Linked DNA regions of Schizosaccharomyces pombe. The main gene of each other region encodes a partner of the protein of the gene in region 2 in a complex. Each region holds a gene or a part of one and is shown on either strand. Other genes may lie near its edges. The genes, in order: cut3 and cnd1.

Evidence for each region.
Region 1: cnd1 (region 2) and cut3 share a complex: the UniProt entries of both Schizosaccharomyces pombe proteins name them as parts of the condensin complex.

The regions. Positions count from the first base shown.
Region 1 is NC_003423.3:998,792-1,011,870, forward strand, and holds cut3 (condensin complex SMC subunit Smc4), read right to left. Parts: upstream 7,733-13,079; 5' UTR 7,673-7,732; coding exon 3,698-7,672; 3' UTR 3,472-3,697; downstream 1-3,471. Other genes in the region: mediator complex subunit Med15, read left to right, coding at 1-1,289; SPOM_SPBC146.02 (uncharacterized protein), read left to right, coding at 2,220-3,011; erv2 (sulfhydryl oxidase), read left to right, coding at 9,227-9,805; protein Cwf25, read right to left, coding at 10,008-11,103, 11,166-11,200; fan1 (fanconi-associated nuclease 1), read right to left, coding at 11,810-13,079. UniProt on the Schizosaccharomyces pombe protein: Central component of the condensin complex, a complex required for conversion of interphase chromatin into mitotic-like condense chromosomes.
Region 2 is NC_003423.3:3,194,839-3,207,225, reverse strand, and holds cnd1 (condensin complex non-SMC subunit Cnd1), read right to left. Parts: upstream 7,139-12,387; 5' UTR 7,089-7,138; coding exon 6,974-7,088; exon of another isoform or gene 6,904-6,973; coding exon 6,825-6,903; exon of another isoform or gene 6,800-6,824; intron 6,734-6,799; coding exon 3,451-6,733; 3' UTR 3,240-3,450; downstream 1-3,239. Other genes in the region: kgd2 (dihydrolipoyllysine-residue succinyltransferase), read left to right, coding at 1-357; phospholipid--diacylglycerol acyltransferase Plh1, read right to left, coding at 467-509, 558-625, 675-881, 927-1,073, 1,115-1,354, 1,394-1,477, 1,526-1,553, 1,598-1,625 and 2 more; Dbf4(Dfp1)-dependent protein kinase Hsk1, read left to right, coding at 8,251-8,479, 8,538-9,383, 9,447-9,895; rpl2801 (60S ribosomal protein uL15), read right to left, coding at 10,289-10,735; COG complex subunit Cog6, read left to right, coding at 11,657-11,917, 11,970-12,387. UniProt on the Schizosaccharomyces pombe protein: Regulatory subunit of the condensin complex, a complex required for conversion of interphase chromatin into mitotic-like condense chromosomes.

The DNA.
Region 1 (13,079 bases), 2.2 Mb from region 2:
TTAGCCGTACAAATCAACTGATTTGCCTGTTTTACTGTTTGACAGGCAATGAGGAAGCCACGATTCAATTGATACAAATGCGTCATATATTTAAATTACAACTTGAAGGTCTTCAGCAAGGTGTTTTTACTTGTGCTCCGCAAACATTGGCCAAGATTAAGGAGAAAACCAGTCGCTATTTTGCCTTTGTGAAAGCTCAACTGTTAAGACTTCACCATGAAGTAAATAACAATAATATGAGTATTCAAAATGCTCTTGCCCATATCTCCTCGCTCCGTACTGCATCTATTAATCAACAGCAGCAGCCACAGCCACAGTCACAGCAGCAACAACAGGCTTCCCAGTTTCCTCAAGCTCCTTCTGTATCATCCAATGTACGTCCTATCAATGGATCAATTCCTAATGCGCAACCCAGTGTTCCTGGGCAAGCCCAACCTGCAGCCAAAGCAAATTCTGTTGGTAACACATCTTTTCCTGTTGACAGTAAACTTGCATTCCAATCCTTGGATGTATCTCAGCCGGATTTGCAAGCCAAACAGAAGATTGCATCACAAGTCATGAAACATGGTTTAAAACCAGAAGATCTCAAGTTACCGCCTTCTAAGAAGAAAAAGATAGAAAACTTATCGACAGTTCAAAAACCTAAGGATTCAGTCGTAAATACTCCTGATGTTATAATGTCAAGTGTAGATGAAATACCTTCTAGTGTTTCTCCAGGTACTATAGCCAAAGAGGAAGGAATGGCTAAAGCTCGGGAAGAAGCAATTGCTAATCCTTTGAAGTACGCAATCGATGCATTTGTGGCTGTAGACCATGAAGAAGAAGTTTCTGCTATCAAATCATCACAGACTCCTAGTTCTATTTTGAAAACACCTCAGTCGTTTTTCATTCCTCCGTCAACTCCAGATTTATCATTTACAGATAACAAAAACTCACTTAGTCCATCTAATATTTTGTCATTGGACGGAAAATTTTCATTTAATGATGATTCGGAGCTTTGGGCTGATTTAGGTAATGAAATCAACTCTGAAATCGGATTTTTAAAGGAACCAGATACCATGAATCTTGCTTTGGATGCAGATAAAGATAAGACTAAAATGCAAAATAAGCTTACTCAAATTAATTTTGATGAATCATGTTTTCTAGATCCAGCGATCGACGATAAAGATCCATGGAATGAAATGCTTCATGAAAAGAAAGTTTTGCTAAAGCAGCTTCAAGTGGGTAACGAAGATGAAGACAACATCGCATTTCCAACATCTACAAACATATGGCAAGTTGTGATTTAAAATTTTGTGATACGATGGTTCGCAATTGTTTTTTATTTATTTATTGCACGTCGTCTCAAAAAGCAAATTGGACATATTTGTCCTTCTACAATATCTTATGAATACCATAGACATATATTGTTTCTCTGTTTATTCAACGTTTCTCCATTTTTTGAAAGCATCTGTTATGTTGAAAATTGTGATTGGGAAAAGGTTTGTATAGTCCTTGTGTTTATATACAATGATAAAAATAGAACCTGAATTTAATATTTTGAAGATCCGGTTGTACCTTTATTAGGCACAATGCCAGAAAGTATGGCTTTTTCCCGATTAATGACCTGTCTATGAGACTCATTGTGAACATGAAAATGTCGGTATAATGAGGACCGTTACAAATTTTATTTATTCATACGTTTAAGTTGATTTTAGTTAATTTATTATTAGTGCACCGGTTGGTGTTGAAAATTAATTTGTAATCTCTTAAATGAATATTTGTATAGTTTTTAATGTTTACTATCTCAAATATTCTAAAAGTAGCTATCAGTTTATGTTTTTGCTTTGGTTCAAGAGCTTTGGTTTAACCTAACCGCCAAATAGCTATCTCGAATTACCATCTAACATGAGAAAACAAATTAATATTTCAAAACTCCCGATAATTTATTGAGCTTAATAATTAATTAAAATTTACGTATTATTGAAGTCAATAAAAGCTTTCTTTGTCTTCCATGAACAAAGAAACCTTGTGATCTCAGTCTTGTATATAACACGCTAACTCGTGGCCTACTGTAAATAAAAGTTATCTTACTAACGATATATTATTTCTTGATTCATTGAAATAAGAATCGTAGGATTTAACAATAATTGAATACAGAGATCTCCTAGCTTCATTATTAAGTACAAAATAGTCAATTAATTTTTTTATCAAGCAGATTAATTGCTTTTAAACTTACAATGAATGGTATAAGGAAAAAACCAGCAACCTTGCAACTCCATAATATAAAAACCAGCTGTTTCATTGATGGCAGTGATGATCAAAGCGATAGAACAAGGTCAAGTTCTGGAGATAGCACCTCTAATTCACTGAAGCTATCACATCATATATCTGACGAACTGATCAATGCCATATATAAAGAGTTAAAGTCGCCAGTATCACCTTGGGACAAAAACATTTCGCAGCATTCGCCATGGCTGTTGGAAGCGGCATCGAACTCCATTGGTGATTCAAGTCCTTTACTTTCACCAATCTCTCCATTAAAGTTAAGATTTCATAAATATTCGGTTTCGAAACAGCTAAACAGCGTTGGAAAGCAGGGTTTTGGTCTTTCTTCAAACCATAGTCGTTATGCCTCACCATCCTCCCCTGCACGGCTTGCAAGAGGTGCACTTGGTGAGGAACTTAGCAATTCGCAATACAGATTAGAATGCGCCGCAATTCAGAAGCTTGTTGCTCAAAAACGAGCCAATAGAAGGAGTAGTAAAAGCACTTTAAAAAATTCTGCAAATGATATAGAGTTTTTCGATATTGAAGAAGTTTCCTCTCGCAAGGGACTAATAGACAGAACACCTTCTAAAAGAAATGTTACTTCCCGAGTTTCTGATGCGTATTCTCGTCTTAAATCTGCTGTGAAAGGCGAATCAAGCTTGTCCTTTAAAAGAAACCGATCGAAATCGAAGAGGAAAATTCAGCACCTGGGTTTGACTGAGTTTAATGGGTGGGAACACCATCAGTGCGACTGGCTATAAAATAAGTGTTACTCAGATGCTCCATGTTAGGCTACATGGTGCTAGCCATGTGGTAATTAACATTCATTTATTTCCTTCATTACTTTCTTCCTTAGTCCTCCTATCTCTTATTAGCTGGAAAGCTTTTATCATTTGCATTTTTCTTGTTAATTGGTCTTTCATTTATCTCGTCGTGTGCATTGAGATTTCCTATTTAAGTTTACGACTCATATTGTTTAATCTAATTTATTGTTTGTTTCTAATTATTCTTAATTTACTACCATAAAATTAAATTACTTAAAATTGGATACGTTCTATATGGTATGCATACGATTGCAATAAATCTTTAAAAGCATTACCCACTAAAATATTATACTATGTAACTACAAATTGTAGATACCTTCTGAAATTGATGATGTAAACAACATATTTAATTATATACAATTCCTTTGCGCAGATTTTACAGGCTTTAAAAGCGAGTGAAGATTAATTTTATATATTTGTAGTCCTATTACGTTCATAAACAGATTTCTGAAACATTAACATAAACTGGGTGCCACAAAACTAAATTAGTTTAATCTTCTCATAACATAGATTTATTAGTATGCACACTGTGAATTATGAAACACTGACATTCAGTAGCCAAAAATTCGTAAATTATTAAATATCTAGTTTCCAATTTTCTACGTTTTTATTTGAATGTGCAGTTAATCTGTAAGTATTTCCTTGTTGTTGATTGTGACACTCTTAGTCATATTCGCCGTTTTATAAATGCCAACCAAACGAGAAGATAACTCAAACATATTACTTCTTAAAGAAATAACAATAAACTGCGCGTTTTTAGTTCTTTCCTTAATGTAATTCGCAACAATCGAAACGTTTTTAAAGTCTAATGCAGCATCGATTTCGTCCATAACGTATAAAGGAGTCGGTTTGTAATTATGTAGAGCAAAGACAAGGGCTAGAGAACTTAACGTCTTCTCTCCTCCCGAAAGGTTAGATATGTTCTTCCAAGATTTTTTGGGAGGCATCACACTAAACAATACCCCCTCAGAAAACGGATCCAAACTATCCACTAACTCAAGCTCTGCGTTTCCGCCCATAGTAATAATTTGATACATTTCTTTAAGCTTCATAGATATAATTCCAAATCCGTACATAAACTCATCGAGCCTCTGAGATTGAAGATCTGTAACGACTTTTTTCAAATCGGTTCTTTTTTGCAATTCACTTTGGTAATCAGAATCACGCTTTTCTGCTTCCTTGTTACATCTACGATATTCAGACAAAACATTGATATCTACTTCTCTGTCTTCAGTTTTCTTTTTCAAGACTGAAATATTAGAGACCAGCTCGCTTTTATCAACTGAACTCAGTTCATCTTCAGAATATTCGGGAAAAGTTGAGTCCATTGTTGTCTGGTCACAAAATTCAGTCAAATTGTGTAACTTCAGATTTGACATGAGCTTTAAATATTTATTTTCATTATTGCCGACCTCTGATAATGCCGTACGCTGCTCTTGAATTTGATTTTCCAATTCAATCCTTTCTGCTTTAACGGAATTCATTTGCTTAGATTCAAATTCAATAAATTTTACTAGTTCGTCGATAGAGGAATTGATGTCCCATAGAGCATTTTCAAATTCGCGGAGCCGAGATTTGTGTTCATCCACATACTTGTTTAACGATTGTAGTTCAGTCTTTAAAGTGGCTATACTTTCAGTAGTTGTATCGTACTCGCTAGTAAGGTTTGATAGTTCAACTTGGAAAGATTGACTGCGTTGCTCATTCTTCTTCTTCTTGAAACTCATTTTGTTAAGCTTGTCTTTAACAAATTTGAGTTGCTCATGCAAATCGTCGACCTTTGATTTTTGTATACGATATCGAATCCCACCTATTTCCATGATCTTATCTTGTAACGTCTTAATTTCAGTGACAAGGCCTTCATTGTTAATATTTATGGCCTCAACTTCCTTGTCCATATTTGATATTTTGTTTTGGAGATTCCGTTTACGTTCATTGTTGTTTCTAATACTTTTTAAATCGGATTTAAGCTGCAAGATTCGCCTCTCTTCTCCAGCTACCAATCTATCACAAGCAGAAACGTCAAGCTGCAGCTTTGAAATCTCTAGTTCCGCCGATGGAATACGTTCCGAAATTTCAGTAAATCGCTGATTAAGGCTCTCCAGCTCACTTAGGTGTTGGCGATATCGAGTGTCTTCTAGTTGCACTTGTTTATCACAAGTCTCAACTGAAGCCGGCGATACATCACTCGTTATAGCTGAGGACATTCCGCCTTTCTTTACTCGAGTACCACCTCCAGTCATTGTGCCCGATTTATCAATTAACTGACCACTTAGTGTAACAACTCTCCAACGTGTTTTGCCATACGCAATTCTATTAGCCTGTTCCAAATTTTTAGCAACTAAGGTATTCTGCAAAACGTTATAAAACGCAGGAGCGAATTTCTGATCATTAAACCGAAGTAAGTCGAAGAGCCGGGGAACATTCTCAGGTGTTTGGATACGAGCTAAATTTTTCTGCGCCAGTTCTTTGAGAATAATAAAACTAGCACGGCCTAGGTTATTGGAGCGCAGAAAAGCCACACATTTCTGTCCAGTTTCAATATTGTCAACTACAATATGATTTAAAGCAGGACAGGCAGTTGAAATGGCCACATCATAAGCCTCGTCAATTGTAGCCAAATCACCAAGACGTCCAAAGAAACCATTTAAATTATCAGATTCATGAAGTCTTTGAAGACTTTCTAACACATTTCCACGAGATCTAGAAGAACTTAAAGAAGCTTTCATCTCCTCCAACTTTGTTCTGTTTGACATAAGATTTCGGTAAGTATTGTGAACAGTTTCCTTCTTTCTTTCAATGTTCTTACTAACATCTTTCTTCTCTCCTTTTAGGTCGGAAAGCACTTTAAGCTTAGAAGACAGGATATTCCGATTTTCTTCTGCATCATTACGCAGTTTATCAAGCGAAGATTGAGAGGACTCAACATCGTTAATTAGATCATTTTCTTTATTTAATAACATATCCAACTCAACCTGTAAAATTTGTTTTTCTGATGTCAATTGGTTTATTTTCTCGAGGGCGGGAGCCATAGCCTTTTGCTTTTCTTCAATAGCATTTGAAATACCTTCCGTTTTTCCCTGTAGACTTTTCCTAATGTCATCCAAACTCAATTCTTCCTGTTGAAGTCTTAAACTGAGATCGGCAATTTCAGAATTCAACTTTTGGGAATCAATATCATGAGAGCTTAAAGAATTTTCTGCTTCTGATTTTTCGAATGAAAGAGCCTCAATGGATTTCTTTAACTTTTTTTCTTTATTAAGTAAAAATTTTAACTGCTCTTCAATCTTCACAGTCTGTTGTTCATAAGACTGGCGAGTTTTCTTCTCTGAAGTACAATCGTTTTTTACTTTTGCTGCCTTTTCACGCAATGATTTAACCTCTTCATTTTTTTCCGAAATATCTCGCTCGGTTTGTTCAAATTTCTCTAAATGTGCTTGTAATTTTCCTTCCAAACTATTAAGCAAGTTTTGAACTAACGTCTTTTTATTGCGTGTTTCGTATAGAATAGTACGGTAAAGCTGATTCTGTTTCATAAACAACTCATTTTCGTCTTTGAGAAAAGAAAGAACCGAATTTTTGCTATCTTCTAATTTCGCCTTTTCAGAGAGCACCAGTTTTAAACGAGATTCTTTCTCAGCACAGATATCATCAGAATTCGAAAGTTCTTGCATATTCTCTTCTATAATTGGCTTATATTTCGAGGTTCCGATGATATCTTCAAGATATTCAAGAAGACCATCATCACCTTCTGATATAGCCCGGGGCTTCATTTGCGCTATTGATTCGACTTCTCCTTGAAGAATTAAAAATCTCTTATGATTCAAGTCTATTCCTTTCTCCTTTAAAAGATTAGAAACTGCAGAAAAGGAACTCTCAACCCCATTTACAAAGTATTTACTAGTATTATTTTTATAAGCAGTACGACGAACTGTTAGTTCGCTTCCATCAACATAAGTAAAGTCAGAGTTTACCTCTTTAAAAGTAATTTCGACATCACAACTATCGAGAGAAGGATGAGTTGCAGATTTATGAATTAAGGCAGACGCTTTGGATTGCCTAAGTTTACTAGCACGAAAACCGAAAACAAAAAGTAAAGCATCGATAACATTAGATTTCCCAGAGCCATTTGGTCCAACAATTGAAGAAAAAGAAGGATGAAACGGACCCACTATCTGAGTTCCTGCATATGATTTAAAATTTGTTAGGCGTAGCTCGTAAACAACCAGTCTAGGAGGAAGAACCTGAGTGGTTTCTTCACAATTCTCAATATCCTCTGTAGTAGTAAATTCTGACACAAGTTGTGAACTCCGTTCATTGAAACCTGTTGATTTAGATGGAGTGCCATCTTGAGCAGACATAAATTTGTTGAGCAAATTAGGGCGTTCGTTTAAAGAATCGGTAATTCTTTTTTTTAAAAAGTCATTGAAAAATGGGCGAGATGGTGTTTGCTCTATCTTGACAATTGATGCGACATCTTTCTGAGAAGGAGATTCTAGCACTGAGCGAACCAACTTTCGTGGCCTTTCACCACGATCTGGCGTAACATCCACAATCGAGGGTGTTGAAGACGTTCGAAAGATGCCCTTGTCAGACATAAAGATAGTATCTTCAACAAATTATATATTACTTAAAATTCTAAAAGAGTGGGTGGTCGTGAAAAGAGGTGTGTTGTTTACAACGGTTGAACAGCATTTCACCCAACGATGAAGTCAATTAATGAATAAAATATACAAAAACCCACAGTTAAATTACACTAAAGCCCATGTTTATAAACTAAAGACTGAAGTATAATTGTGTAAACAGGTCATGTTAGATGAAAATGATCTATTTATTTTATACCTACACACCTGATTTAAAGGAAGACTTCAAACATCTTTTTACCTGTAATTATAAACTCATGTGTCTATTATACATTAAATTATTATGCTAGTCAATTTGGTATTCTTGGACGTTGAAAGTTAACTCAAAACGAAAATTAAGTAAAAGAGAATATTGCTCTGACACTTTACACTAGCAAAATATTAAAAGGACGAGCAGAATACATTGCTGTTTCTAAGTTTTTACTAGCACAAGCAAACATCCTCTTTCAATTCACACAATAAATATAAAGCTCAAAGATTTTTTGTTCTGTATTCCTTCATTAAATCTAGCAAGACGACGCAAAAATTTACCTTGTTTGGGTAGCCCTATGTGTGAAATAACCACGAATAAAGAATAATCAGTAAGTAATATAAATAGATTAGCTCTTTAAATGAAATGTTAATGCAAGGAAACGATTTGTCCAAGTTTTTTAGAACAACTTTTCAAATTCACTATTGTTTTGTATTTTTTTAGCTTTAAACTTGACAAGCCTTTTGCCATATGTTAATTTAACCCAAAATTCTTACATTTTGATTTAAACTAATCAAACGCAAATTCATATCTTCAAGCAATTGCAAGTAATTTATCTTTAAAACATTTAAATCTGTAAACATAGATTATTATATGCTATCTATGCTCACTTGATAACTTAGCTAAACTCTTCCTTCTTTATTTATTTATTTATTTTTTAAACAAAAACTAACAAGTCCTCTTAGTTTTTATTTATTTACGTTAAGTTTCTTTTTTTTAGTAAATAATTCCAAACTTAAAAAAAATTTTATAGTGATAAAACCTAGCAATGGACTTTATAATAATGATACTTTAGTTAATTTTTTTGTTGTTATTTGGTTATATCTCTATCACTAAACTACATATTTATTAACTATTAACTATACTTATAATTAAAACTCTTCTGAGTCTTAAAATAAAAAGCATATAGAATTGATATAAAAGATATTTAATATCTAAAAAAAAAATTAAAGGGTTGGCAATACATTTATCTAAATCAATTTGGTAATGCATTGGATCATCCAGCAGCCTGTTCCATCTTACTACTTTAAAAGTTTTTCTGTTAATTAGCATTAGATATAACGATGCACTCGCTCTGTATAACCCAGGAGGTTAGTTTTGTTTACCATCAATTCCTTCTCGTTATTGCAACATAGCGATGCCGCATATCAGATCAAAAAAGCCGCGTGAGTTTCTGTCCTTGCAGTTCTCCTTTACAATTAATTTGGTAGATGAAGGTGTTCTTACGGGGAAAACGAAGTAGCTAAATACTATAAAACATGATCCTTAATAGAAGAATTCAGGTGATTCTCCCTACCCTACTAATCTTATCGTTTATTATATGGATCTTTCACAGTGTTATGGTAGACAAAGATTGGCGTCTGTTTATGCCTGAAATTAAATCGCTTCCGGATCGAGAAGGTCAAGGTAGAAAACCAATTGAGATGATGTCCACGAAGCACGATAATAACACGAATAATTTAATGGTAAATGCATACTGGAAGTTAATTCATACGGTTGTTTCCAATTATCCAAACAGACCAACATTAGATGAGCGAGATATCTTAAGACATTATCTATTTTCTTCCGCTATTACAATGCCATGTGGTGAATACTCTGTGGAACTCCAAAAGATACTAGATGTACATCCTCCACAAACAAGTTCTCGAAAAGCAGCAACTACGTGGGCTTGCAAAGTACACAATCAATTAAATGAGAAAATGAATCAACCAAAGACATCATGCGATGGATTTAATGAGAGATATGTAATCGGATCGCCGACCTATCGCGAAAGCGAAGCTGAAAATGTTCCTGAACGGGTACAAGTAATTAACGAAGATCACGACTATTCTGGTTGATAACAATGGTTAATTTTAAGAATTCATGTATTATTAAAAAATATTACCGTCTATCATGCAATGCATTTGGATGTTAAGCTATTTATTTAATGAACCCTAAACTGATATGTTCAACTGTTTACCACCGTCATTTCCACTCATTATTCAGAAATGTTATATCGTTATGCATCAAAGTTATATTAGAAAAAACATAGAAATCACGTTACGGCCTTAACATGTTATGTCGGCTACTATTCACACGATCTGCCAAGCTTACAGAATCACCAGAGTAGATCTCTTTTCTCATATTTCTGATAAAATCTCCTTGGTTATCCCATTTTCTTGCGGTATCGCGTCTCTCTTTTTCCAAAAACTGTTCTTCATCTCTTTCTTTCTTTTCCAATAGTTCAATTTTTTTTCTTCGTGACTCATCTAATTCCTTAGCATTGTCTTGCATTTTCTGTAAACGGCTTTCTATATCGGTATGCCTTTGAGTGATAGGTTGCGAGTCTCGAGAATGAAATTGGTGATTTCGAGTCCTGAAATCCGGAGATGGTGAACGAGAATATTGTCTGCTTGTTCGCACATATTTTTTTAGGTCTCTTTCATCTTGAAAATGACCCTGATCAAAGCGCATATCATCATCGTAATGTTTCTTGAAATAACCAGAGTCATATTTATCTCGATGCCGATAGCGATCATTGTGTGTGCGTTCTCTCCAATTATTTCGGTCATTACGGTAGCTTCTTCTTGAATGCTCCCTTTTGTCAGAAGAATGTTGTTCATTATCTGACCTTTCCCTGCTTCTGTCTTGATTGCTTCGATGATGACGATCGCGGTGCCGCCGTTCTTTCGACTTTCTATCAGAGTCTAAAGAGTATTTCCTTTTTTCCATAAGCGTTTGTAGTTGTTTTTGTTCTTGTTGCTTGATTGCAAGTAAAGGATCTAGTCGCAACTTTGCCTGTGTGTCTTGTAGGGAGTTCGCGTTTTGAAGAGCGATAAACTCTGTTTTTTCTAATGAATTATTTTGATCCTCTATCTTGTCCTTTAAAAGATCATCTAGACGTCGCCTTCCAAGCAAATATTCTTCCATTTCTGAAGAGTCACGATTGGGTCCATTCGTGTTAGGAACTGCATACATCCACTCAACTCTGTCTTTTCTTTTTTTTCCACCAGCAGCTTCTTGTAGCCGATGTAATTCCAATAGTTGACGTTCTTCTTCAATTTCTCGCCTAAGTTGCTCGACTCGCTTCATCTCTTCTTTGTGAGCTTGCTCATCTTTCCAAACTTTTTCCTGGTTCCTCATTAGCAGAGGATGCCTAATCATAATATTAGTAAAACATCTTTAAACAATTATATTAATGCAAATAAATCCACTTACCAGCTTTTCTTCATATTTAGATCTCCACCACCCATTTTGAATTACTAATAAGAGTTGTTTAAATTTCAAAATAAAATTGAGAGGAAAATCCACTAATTGTTTTATTTTTAGGATTAAAAACCACAATTCTCAAAAAGTGGCTATTAATACAAAAAATTGAGTCTCGCTTTACCTGTGACTCATAGTGTTTTGCAAACATATACACTAAATTACTTGGGTAACATGTTACCCAAGAATAGAAAGTCAAGCTTGCGAATTCTGAGACCAATCAATAATAATCACGTTCAGATTTCTTAGTATTTTAGCTATAACTAAGTCATTGATAAACGTAAGTTCTATTTCACTTTAAACTGATTAAAAAGCAATGTATCATTAAAAATCCTACTTGATTATGAATGTGATTTTAAACAAATTGGTATACAGCATGAAAACATGGGTTGAAACTTAATTATATACTGGAATAGAATATGTGAATTCAGTCCAATAAGTTGCATATTATATACTTAATCCATTCAAAATCAATCAACATTTCTAAAATGAGAAATGACTAAGTTATTCTCCTTGGCAAAACGATGGTAATTCAGCAAGCAAAGTGTAATTTACATAAGCTATGCATTTAATGAAAAGATTAACAATCACGTTTTTTATTTTTTTTTGTGCATGGAGACATGACAAACTTCAACATCAACTTCACTGGATATTAGTAATGATATCCAGAATTTTTGCGCTTCTGAGAGCCTATCATTATCGCTTTTAACTTCTGAAAACATAAATTTTTTTTTAGACGGATTCCACAAACATAAATCAGGTATCCCGCTAGAACTATTTTTATAATCTTGGGTCAAAGCAAGAAATATTTGGGCGAGTCCATTATCGTTGATACAATCGACAATTTCAAGAAGCATTTCGCAAGTATACGACCAATTAAGACCTACACAAAATGTTTTTCTTTGGTGCTCTCTGATATAATTATCTTTTATAATTAGGCCAGCTTTCCCATTTCTTATTTCCTCAAGTCTTTTCATGATTGTCGATTCTCTAGATATATAAAAGGAATCAGTGTGCAAATCCAAAGGTGCACTTTGAAACGGAGATTGAAAAACACCAGGAACGTCCTCAAACAAAATATCCCAGAATGTCAAAGCAAACAAAGTTAGCAAAATGCTGCTTTCAGCATGTATACCTTCCCACCCAATCGATTGATAATGTTGAAGAGCAAGCTCTTCAACTGTGATAGCATTATTAGTCTTGCTACGCCAAACAGTCCGGTTTGAAAGGTCACCGTTATGTATTCGTTCACCATGAAGAAAAAGTCTTGAAGGATTATTATTTATAAGTTTCATGCTTTTTAATTCGGTAGTATTAGAGACTTTTAAACACTTCCGTAAGCGAACAAGTCTCCTTTGTAAGCTAAAGTAATATCTGAGGTGGGTATACTTGTCTTCAATACCATTTTCACAAGTTGATAAAGCAAGCGTTTTCCAATAACGCAAAACGTTAGTATCCTCAGTTTTAAAGTTGTATTCCAGTAAGGCTTTTCTATTATACCAATGTCCTCTTTTACCCACCAAATATATATTTTGAGATAAAAGGGTATCTAATATTTCATGTTCAACCTCAACTAATCGCGACTTCGCGAGAATATTTAGACTTTTATGTATTAAGTATGTGTAAACAGCACCAGGACGAAAGCTAAAAGAAAACCTTACCAATCGAGTATCTACTTTTCTATTTTCTTCCACCCAAAATTCCCTAATGTCTTCATTTAGATATGTCGACCATATAGGATATATTTCAAAAAAACTGTTCAACGCTTGTTCGAGTGCTTCCTTATCCGAAGCGGCAGTGTTTTCAAAGATTGGAACCAAGTTTTTTGAAAGTTCTAAAACCTCAACGTATTCAAGGCATTGAGCA
Region 2 (12,387 bases):
GCTGAAAGCATGTCCCTTTTGGAAATTGAAAGTGCTATTGCAACTTTGGGTTCAAAAGCGCGTGCTGGCAAATTAGCTATTGAGGACATGGCTAGTGGAACTTTCACCATCTCTAATGGTGGTATTTTTGGCTCCCTCTATGGTACCCCTATTATCAATCTTCCTCAAACAGCTGTATTGGGTTTGCATGCCATTAAGGAACGACCTGTTGTTATCAACGGCCAAGTTGTTCCAAGGCCGATGATGTATTTGGCTCTTACTTATGACCATAGAATGGTTGATGGTCGTGAAGCAGTTACTTTCTTGCGTTTAGTAAAGGAATATATTGAAGATCCTGCAAAAATGCTATTAGTATAAAACAGGAACTTTTGAAAGAGGCATGATTGGTTGAATGATAGTGATGCTTTTTATTAAAGACAATTTATTTATCATATTCGTTTGTCGATTTATTTAAAGTAAATGATTTTTAATTTCTAGGTTTATCGAGATTTATCTCATTTATTATTTCCCTGTTCGGTTAGTTAGTTAATTGCAATCTACAAAACTTATGTCCGTACTGGATATCTGATATATAACGGTTTGGTACCGAGTCACCATGGCCTGATGAAACTTTTAAAATAATTTCCTTATTTCAAGAGTTAGTAATAGAAATTTGTAAGGTAAAATGAACATACATTTAGCTCTGAATGTCCAAGTATATCGACGTGTTCTGCCGAGCGAGGTCCTCCTCTCAGATCAAACGCAGCAGGTTCATGCTTGATTTCATAATTTGTGATACTTGTATTAGCAGGATTAAACCTTTTTGTTTGCCAAACTTTATTGCACACCAAACCAAGGGCTAATATTGGTAAAGTTCCATCACCATCATCCATAACAATACCCTAATAAAACAGTTAATAGAATGTTTGAAACATAAATTCTCTCACATTTTCAACTTTTGTTCCATCATTAACCGAGGAATCAATGACAGGTTGCCCCTCAGGATTATTAGTATAATAATAACCTCTCTCAGTTGGTTTTCCGACCCCGTGAACGCAATAAATTTTCATATCAGGAGCATAAGGAAGACTAGTCTATTTGGGTTAGTATAATTTAGTAACTTTAATGTTCTTACTTCTAGCGGATTTATCCATTTAGACGGCATTTCGTTATTTTTTAACACTTCTTTTTCAGTCCAAGCAAGACCGTGGGAATAATTTTTCGCTAGCATGACTTTAAAATCGTCATCTGTAACATTTTTTAAAAATTGTAATGCATCATCTATGTCAAATTCATCGTGGTCCTTATCAATGTCTTCTCTATATCGAATAATTGCACCATTGGAAAAATTTGTTTGATTAAGATCATCTGGAGCCTAAATATTAATAAAAAATTAACAGCACATATTTCTTACCCAACTGGCATTTCCCCATACAACATCGCCTCCTTTAGGAAGCATAGAACTAACTCCTCCCATAGTGCGAACCATCATGGCTCTCTATTAAAAGTTAGAAAAAGTAGAGCACATTTGTATTTTTGAATATACCTCAGAACGGGAAAAAAATTTTTCCAAACTAAACAGTAAATTAGTAACAAATCTCAACAATTTATTGCTTACCCATAGACCGAAAACTGATTCAATTGAGCTTAAAACGGTTAGCAAAAATTAAATATTAACATGTTTAATGTAATTACAATACCTGTATCTTTCATTTCACCCGATAAAAGCGCTGCCACTGTTTTGGGTGCTCCAATCAAAGATCCCGATATCTATTCAAAAGTTAGAAACGTAGTCAAACAACCATCGAGACTCACATTTATAAATGCTTCAATATGATCATTAACCCAAGTCGGTCCACCATTTCCGTAGCCCTCAGCTTCAACCCACTTAAAAAAATAGTACGTAACCTGTGAACCCATGGAGTGAGAAATCAACACTACCTTTTTCTTATGTACAATGTTGCTGTACTCAATGAACATTTTTAACTTTGAAAAATATTTATCACGTTCCTCTAAATTTGCATATGATAACCGCCAATCGTAAGAAGCACTTAACATGTTATTAGGCTCATAACCAATTGCAGCAAGGTTTTCAATTACTTTACTCCAAATCCAATAGCCCGTGATAAAAAAATCAGCTGCTTCAAACCCCTGAGCTGCTCGCAGCTTAATTCCCTTCGGATCCAAGCCGGTTTTTTTATCAAGCATTAAATGTTCAAGCCAGCATTGCTTGTCAAGGAACATTGCCTTCAGCATAGACCAGCTACCCCAAAGACGTTTCCTAAAGTAAGGAATCGAGCAATTATTAAACGACCAACTTTCTAATCCTGAGCTGATAACACCAGGAACCATAATAACAGGATGGTCACTTCGATATCCCTCATTGTACATATCAAGACCAACTTGAACTTCATTTCCGCTAGGAGACTGCGAAGGCTTGTCCGTAGTAAAAGGTGCATCCTTAAACACATTATAAGATAAATATCCTTTAATGTCATCAAACAAGTCTGAAGAGCCTAGCATATTCCCAAATTTATCTAACGTAGCAGGGTCGAAAACAGCATTGTCGTCTCCAACAGCGAAAAAAAAAGCACCGCATATTCCCAAAATAGCGCCCAATATAAAATTCAATCTTTTTCCAAATTTAGATTTTCTTGATTTATTTGAAACAGATTGTGTTTCGGACGCTGAAGGTTGCTCACTCAAAGCGCGAGTTGGTTTCTTTGAATTTGGTAAGTCGATAGGAGATTTGACTTCTTTCTTTTTCTTATGAGTTTTGCTCTTCTTGGAAGACGCCATAGTTAACTTTAAAATATGAATTGCTTGAGCAGCAACTGCCAAACATTCGATAAGTAAGCGAAGTCCTTACTGTCATAGTTCTACAGCAGGAGTGATAACGAAGTGAGCGTTAAGTTGCTTTAGAAACACGTTTAATATCGGTTTCCTTCTACAATTGTATTTTGATTTAGTGTCTAAAAGTTTGAAATACCTTATTTCTAGTTAAACTGAGTTACGTTACAATGCACTTATACTCAGTATATGCCGATTATATTTATTATCAAAACTTCTAGCCTGAGAGGATGATGACAGTTCCAAAAAATGATCTCTGTTCAAGTATGTAATTTACCAATATTTGATACAGCCTAAAATTGAGAAGAGTTCCTCAGTTTTACTTAGCAGTTAATGAAGGTGAATAGTTTTCTAGGGTAAAGTTAAATCTTCTTCATAAGCACAAAAAATAATTAATGACCCAGCTAGAATGTGCAAATTACTTAGCTAATAACTAAATTACCTTAACTTGCGCTTGAATTGTTTAATTGTTGCAAATAATGGGTGTTGTAGATCAATGAAGTTATAGTTATTAACATTCAATTCGTTATAAAAAAGGTATACCGTCATTCTTCTTTTTAATTAGGCAATACTAATATACAAAGGATTTTGAATATGTAAGATAAAGCATTAGAATTGACTTTATTCATGATATCCATCGTCAATGAGCTTTTGAATATTATCGGCTTTATGAGGAAGCAAAGAAAGTGCATACACCACATGATCCCATTGACGTTGAGTTTTACACCGATCAAGACGAGCAGCCAGACGTTCGGCTAATTGCTTGGTATGTCTTTCTTTTTCAATAAAGGACGTCAAGAAACGAATGATACGCTTAAACTTAGCGTCGTCCTCATCCTGCTCCTCTGCACTTCTAGATAATACACTGAAGATATCAATAAAGTTATTATATACAGAATTATCCTTGGCTGCAAAATCAGTAAAAAACATTCGAGCAAGATCAGAAATTCGAGCATCTTCGTCTTCCAAAGAACGAGCCATAATACCCAGCTGGCCCTTTACTTTTATTTGACCAGCTAAAATCAAAAATGCTAGAGTCATAAAGCATGTCTTTTTGACAGAAGACTCTTCATCCATCAGTCTTCTATATAAGTATTCGGATATTTCATCAATAAAATGATTGAAACAAACAGTTAAATCTGCTAACCCGATTACTAAGTTGTTTCGAATAATCGGATTATCACATTTCTCCAGAATGGTTATTAACAATGGAAGATGTTCCATACAAAAATTGTTAGAAAGACACATAAATTTGGACAAAGTCAGAGAAGCAGCTAGTAAAAGGCTTTGATTATTGTGCGATTTATGATTTGAGCACAATTCTACTACCAATGGAGCAAATCTCGAAAGTAAAGAATTCTCACCATAGAGCAACTCCCTTTCACGAATAAATGTCATTGCTTCTGAAAAATCATCTTCACTTGTTCCCGTAATTAAATCATATTCAGAAGTTTCTTGCCCATTTATAGGATTATTTGAGTTCTGTACGGCCAATCTCTCGGCGTCCGCTTTTCGCCGTTTGAACTCTGCCTCACAATATTCGATATAGACTAATTGTTTAATCGCGACATGGCCTACTAAAAATATTAAGTGCGCCAGTCGTATACCTATTTCTTCCTCATCTTTTAATGTTTCTTCTTCTGGAGAATCATCTAAATCTTCGTCCATTGCATGATCATCGTTACTGGTAGTATTCTCATGATTGGAAGGTTTGAAGAGTTGTTTCGTCAAAAGCAAAATAATGTTGGTACAAAGTTCGTCAGGATGTTTGGCAACTGCATATATAGCCTCAATAGCTTGCTCTTCTAACCCAAACCACTCTTCAGAGAACGATGGTCGAAGTAAAAGCATACATAATTTTTGACAAAGCGTATGCGAATTTGGAAAATTAATATTAGAAGAACCAGACGCATCTTTGCCAATACGTTTAATCGCTATACATGTGTACCTTGCAAGAACTAAATCCTCCAAACCAGGGGGACCAAGTCCTATTTGAATAAGATGATCCAAGCCCTGCATGACAACATCGGTATTGCCTAATGCTAGCATTCCAATTACTATGATGGATCCTCTACGTTGTGTTCGAGATATATCCTTCTTTTGATAACTGTATACTTGCCATAGTTTTGTTATGACTAGATGTGAAAAATACCCATCTTTCATCAAAATGCAAAGCATCTGTTCAAGTGATGTAAGCTCAGCAAGGCTAGCATCATATGTTAATGAAATAAGATTTCTCGCAATATAGTTTGCGGCTTCGTTGGTACCAGAGTTCGGAGGTGGCTCAAAAAATAATGTTTTATAACATGACAATACATGGTTCTGAATGTTGTTCCCTTCGTCGGAGGTTCCTTTTACCCAAATTAAATGAATCATTTTTTTTATATATAATTTTGAAGACGAAATTCCAAAAGAATTGCAAAAAACAAAGAAATCCATTGACTCAATTACCTCGCTCTTATTTTTAGCAAACAACAACTGGCTTATTATTTTTGCTCCCGCTTCCACAATGTCTATATATTGGAGTGCTTCTAAATAAAACCGTTTCGTTAAATTCACTTTGACTATTTCCTCAGCAGGAACAGAATCGACATATTCGCTTAGAGAATTTTCCAAGTGACTTTCTCCTTCATGTGACTCATCATCTTGGATCATAGTAGCATCCTCTAATAAGTTTTCATCGACTTCAAGCTCTGAATCTACCACCTTTTCTTGTTGCTTTGGTTGTAAAGAATTAAGCTGTTCCTCGATGATAGATAATCCTTTCTCCCAAATATTTCTGGTTAGTAAGCCATTGTGCATAACTGAAAAAGGATGGGTAGTTAAAAGTTTAGAAAATAACTTAATTGCATTTCGGCGGACATGACTTGACCGATCTTGCAAACATCTGATCACGAGTTCCGCGATTTCTTGACGTTTTCTGGGATACTTAATTGGTAAATCAAATATTTTGATAAAGACGTGAAGTACTTTAGTACGACAGTAAGGGCTTATATCTAGTAATCGCTCACTGAGAAGATCCATTAAGCTTTGAACAGTTGCTGGCACTGACTCTGACATTTCATTTTGAGCCTCATCATGAATTTGATCAATGACCACATTAGCAAGTACTTCTATGATAGCGCATCTCAGAGTATATGATTCCGAATCAAGCAGCTTAACTAATTGAGTAAGCTGTTTCAAACATAAGTTTGGAATAAGTGAAGAAAGACGGACAAGAAACAAAGCGACTTGCTTGGGACCTTTAACATCGTTATCATTAAATTCTAGAGAGCACAATGTTCGAATAATTCCTTCAGCCAAGGTAACGGAATTAAACTGAACGGTAACAATATGAACAAGATCAGCAGCATACTCAGATAAATGCTCAAAGTATTGTAAATTTTGAATAATATTTGTCTCCGCTGCAGTGGTATGGTTATGGAATTGAACAGCAAGCCCGATAATATTAAATAAACGAGAACGGAAAGAAGCATTTTTTATGTTAATTTCACTTTCCATTAACGTGTATATTGGTTTTAGGAAAAGTGAAAGAAACATGTCTCTTTCCGAAGAAGTAGTCCATACACGAGATAATTTTTTTTGAAATAATGTTATGATTGCATCTAACAAAGCATTTACATGTGAGATACCATTCCAGTTAGAGTTAGTAGTTGGATTTTTTTTTCTTCCCTTAACAGTATTAGTGGATGACCGAATAACTGAAAGTTGATTTGAGGAAGAAAGGGAATTGACCGTGAGCTGAAATGCAATGCCTGTAGTTTCTAAATTCGTTTGAGGTACAGTAAAATCAGTAGCATTTGCGGAAATCATATCTTCAAGAATAGCGGATTCAGAGCTGATATTACTCGTGAGTAAATCATATACTTTATTCCTTACAGAGGAAGAGAGGTCAGCAAAGTGTCTAAACCATTATTGTTAGTTTGGTAAAATTGATATATAGTAAACCAAATGGCTTCCTTCTATTTGAATAACACAAAATAACAACTACTTACGAACATATAGCAAAGAGTTTTTCCAAGCAATCCTCGTCGAAACAAGAACTCGTTCCTAATAAAAGGGTATCAATGACGTCTAATTTTTCATTGTTAGTTATTGTGGAATCGATCATTTTCAATTTTTTTAAAAACCCAAATGTCCATACCGTTAACCACGGCTGTCAATCCAGCATTTTCACATTCAGCATAAATCGAGTCCAAGTCGGAATTTTCTTCATCATGAATGTATTTCTTTAATCTAGAAAGAAGATCCAACGACATTGAGGCCACTGAAAGCCGAATCTTTCTATGTTACGAATGAAATAAAAGATGGATTTGGCGTACTACATTCTAGTAGTCCTTGTAAACAATAACCCCACCTATATGTCCTGTGTGGGGGTCCATTTATACTTTCTTACTAACAAAAAAGAGCTACGGTTAGTCAAAATATAAAATAGGAGCTAGACTTAATTGTTGCTAACCACTTTAAGGATATAGAACGTGCTTTTATTAACTCATTTGTTTACATTAAAAAATAATATTTTAATTAACTTTTATTGAGCGTGCCACGTAAAAGCTATTGTTCTTTTTAGTACTTCTAATTAAATGTTTTGAAAAGAATTTAATATATTTTTTGAATAACGTTAGTTGTAAATTCTTTCTTGAGCTGTATTTCTGATATAAAAACTTATAATTTATTTTGGCGCATGTATCATTTTCAAGGTGATTTTCAAAATTATTATGAATGCAAATTTTGACGAGGTAAGCATTTGTGCTGTTTTTAGAATTTTAAAGTAATACACAATAAACTAAACAGAAAACCTATCGTAGTTTAACTAGGAATAAATTTCAAATTCAGGATAATTTTTTTATTTATTTTTAAATAACAGAAAAAAAAAACGTGTTTGAATACCATGGTTAATCATATTTACTCTCAATGTCCAATAAATAGTCAATTCTAGTTGTTTATGGTGGTTATTAACAATAACAAGAGCCCAAAGGATTTATGTTTTTTAAAGCAAGTCCTAAATTTAAAAAAAGATAAAGGACATGAAATCTTAATCTTTTCCATAAGTATACAAATATTATAGCAGAGTACTTTTTTTATTAAACAAAAGTTGGATTAAAAATGTATTTTTCTTGTTTGGAAGTAACAATGTCCCTCATTAGAAGAGCATTTTGCTTAACAATGTACAACTGGTGTTGAACCTGGAATCTGCAAATTCTTATATTCATGGAATGAGTTTGTGTTACACATTTTAAAAACTTGATTTTTTTGAATCTTAGTATTCGTTCGCGTGTTCGGTTTGAAGGTTTAAAATACGTGAAAATTTGTTTTTTCTTGGTTCCTTCCCTTGGCAGCATTTTACCATTTAATTGACGACTCTTTTAATTTTTTTTAAGTTATTATTTGGTTTAAAAATATATGAGTTAAACCGTTAACATGGCAGAGGCCCATATCACACTATCACCTAAAGTAACTCATGAACAACAAACAGATATTGATTCTGAATGTGAAATCACTGAGGTGGACGATGAAAATGTAAACGAAAACAAATCTCAAGAAATGATTCAAGATATCCCTGCACGAGACCGCGAAGAAATTGAAAATATCACAAGGACGTTCGTAGAGCTACAAGAGAACTATCGGCTAATTGAAAAAATTGGAGAAGGTAAACTTCAATTACCGTTTTTAGTACTGTTTTGAAACTATCTTGCTAATTCGTTTAGGTACGTTCTCCAGTGTATATAAAGCGGAAGACCTACATTATGGGAGGTATATTAATGATTGGGACATTCAAAGTGAAGTGTTAAAGGAATCTTCTTTTGGAAAAGAAAAAATTCCTGTTAATGAAGACAGCCGGAAACCGAAGTACGTTGCTATAAAAAAAATTTACGCGACAAGTAGTCCTGCTAGAATATACAATGAATTAGAAATCCTATATTTATTAAGGGGATCGTCGGTAATAGCCCCGCTAATAACTGCTTTAAGAAATGAAGATCAGGTACTCGTAGTTTTACCCTACTACGAGCATACTGACTTTCGTCAATATTATAGCACTTTTTCCTATCGCGATATGAGCATTTATTTTCGATGCCTTTTTCAAGCTATGCAGCAAACTCAGACTTTGGGAATCATTCATAGAGACATTAAGCCTAGTAACTTTCTCTTCGATGTTCGTACCAAGCATGGTGTCTTAGTTGACTTTGGATTAGCAGAGCGTTATGATGGAAGACAACAATCACATTCTTGCCGGTGCACTAATTCAAATGCGGCCGAATTAGCACATGATTTTTCGATTGCGCAGGAAACATCTCTTGGATACATAAAAAACGATACTCGACCAAGCAAACGGGCCAATAGAGCCGGAACTCGAGGATTTCGAGCACCTGAAGTATTGTTTAAATGCTCATCTCAATCACCCAAAGTTGATATTTGGTCTGCTGGGGTTATTTTGTTATCTTTCCTTACTAAACGTTTCCCCATGTTTAATTCAAAGGACGACGTGGATGCACTCATGGAGATAGCATGTATATTTGGAAAAAGCGAAATGCGCCAATGTGCTGCTTTACACGGTAAGAACGATCTAATGTCCCTTACGGAAGTGTTTGTGTTGATTTTTTTCGCTAACCTGCCAGGTTGTACGTTTGAGACAAATGTAAGCACGCTTACAGAAAAAAGAGTAAACTTTAGGAAACTTATTTTGTGGGCCAGTTGTGGTTCAGCCAGTATATACAAAGAAAAGCTTCGTCATAAACCAAGCCAAGAAGAGCGATTGTGCCTGGATTTTTTAGAGAAATGTCTTGAACTTGACTGTAACAAAAGGATTTCAGCTGAGGAAGCATTGGATCACGATTTCTTGTATCTCGATAATTTAGCTTACGAAAAGAAAGATGACGATACAGCTTTTGATAATAGCTTTGGAGAAACCTCTTTCGAGAAAGACGAAGACTTAACTGCTAAGCACTTATCCCATATCCTTGATTTTAAAGAGCAGGAAGAAACAGATGAACCTACTTCTTTATCAAAGCGGAAGCGAAGTATTGATGAAATTTTACCAAATGATGCTTTGCAGGATGGAGCTTGAGAAGATTTGCTGGCAATTTCTCATCAAGCAATCACTTATATTTGTGCATACATTTTCATTTACAGTATAAGCATTACTGTAATCATTGGGTATTAAAGTGAAAGCATTATTGTATGTCTATACATCGAAAATACCCTATGGAATTTTTGGGGTGCATTTTCAGTTACAAACATTAATCCATAATTAATTTTACCATAGCATAACGAACACATATCAGCAGGTGAGGCTTTTTCACTTACTGACTTAATTGAAATAAAATCTCTATACACTATTTGACCAGAGAATAACACTACAGATTGATCATACAACAATTATATTCCATCAAAGTATAGACGGATAAACGAATCAAACAAAATTAATTTTATTAAGCCACTAAGCAATCACAGGATGTTCTTAGGCAATGAGCTCAACGACACCACCAGCTTGCTTGATCTTCTCTTCAGCACGACGAGAGACATAACGTGTTTGAATGATGACGGGAGTATCAGGCAGACGACCCTTACCCAAAACCTTACCGTAACCAGATTGTAAGACATTAATAACGGGGGCAACCTCCGTGTTTTTACCAAGATACTTTTCACGAGTTTCGTTGGGAACCAAGGTCCAAAGACGATCCAAATTGACAGTAGGACGCCACAAAGGATTCTTCATGAGGTGGAATCGACGCATACCAACCTTACCAAAGTAACCAGGGTGATACTTATCAAAGTGACTACGGAGGTGTTGCAAACCACCGGCCTTACCACGACCACCGGGATGCTTCCTGTGCTTACCAATACGACCATGGCCAGCTGAGACGTGTCCACGAAGCTTACGAGTCTTAGAAGTATGAGTAGGCATCTCGTTTCTTCGCCTTAATAGAGTGGGTAGTCTGAAGCAAAAAGATGTGTACAGTTTTTTGAGAGAATAAAAAAAAGCAGTCACATTTATAGTTGAAAGTGTAGCGTTTTACGAATTTAGCCGAATTTGAAAGTTGCAATAAAACAGCTAATAATTAAATATGGAATAGTAATTTTTTAAATATTTTAGGTTTTTAAATTCCTAAATTTGTTTTGTTGCGTGTCTAATTTTCACGGGCATCAGTGCACTTTCCTATATTGTTCGAATGTAAACAATACTTGTCGGCATATATCTTTGTCAAATAATTGTCGCCAGATTGTTAATGTATTGATCGTTTGACAATTGAATTAAATATGTTTGAGGTTGTCCAAAAGCCATGAATATGAGTACCATCATATATATACCTTAATGAATTTAGAGGGTATGTATTTAATTGTCTATATGAAAATGTAGTGAATTTTTGAAAATTAGAGATGAGATGTGTGTGCATCCTTGATTAAGCATCGTAAATTTCTGTCGTTCTTTTATACAAATTTTAAAGAGTGCAATCGTTCGGATCATGTCAAAATTCAAAAAACTAAGACTGTAACATACAAATCTGCGAGCCTAATTGGCGATAATTAGAAAATGTCTTGAATAAGGTAATAAGTTGGATTTTAATAATTTTACTTCACCCAAGAATCGTATTATACTTTTACGCTCTAGGATTATATATAGATAAAAAAACGTTTAACAGTCAATTGGCAAAGATACCACGGTTTAGTAACGAAACTAATTATGCTGAGTTCAAAGAAACTATAGCAACGTATTTTACTTGTTTGTTTAAAAAACTAATTACTACAGTACTCAAAAGTTAGGGTCTCATCCTGACAGTCAAGCAATTGTGAAGCATCGTCGGCATTCTCCTAACAACACTACTTCATGGATGTGAAATCCAAGCATGGACACATAAAGTCCAACCCAGAAGAATCGCTTCTATTTAGGAATTCTGTGTCGAAAAATATAGCACAATTGTCTTCAATTAATTATGCAGACCGGAATGTTCAAGCGGCACTAGAACAATTGTCTGAACGAAAATTCAAAAATGAAAGAGAAGCACGAAAGCAACTTCCATTTGAAGTGTTTTCTGATTTAATATGGACGAATGGGTCAATCATCAAAGAGCTGTCAGAGCTTTCAAGTGTATGTTAAATACTAATCCATCAAATATTTCTGCAACGCACTAACTGTATAGCAAACTTTGTCTGTCCAGAGTCAACTTTTGAAAGTTAAAAATTCAATTGATAGCTATAAAAATGAGTGGTCTAAAAAAACGAATGACGCACAAATCTTATTGAATTCGTATGAGACATTCTGTGAAGAGGAAGCATTGATTGAGGAAAAGCTCAAAAATATTGAAATATTTGAGAAAAACTTTGTAATAATGGACGATGATTTAATTCACTTGACTTCTTCAACTGACGTTGACGATCGATTTTACTTAATTCTCGACAAAGCGCAAGAGATTCATGATAGTAGTGATTCTTTATTTGCTTCACTTTCTGGCTTCGTGGAGTACTCTTCTTTCGAGGAAATTGTAAAAAAAATGTCTCGGTATATTGAAGCTGCATTTGAAAAACTTTTTCGATGCGTACAGACCGAACTGTCAGATC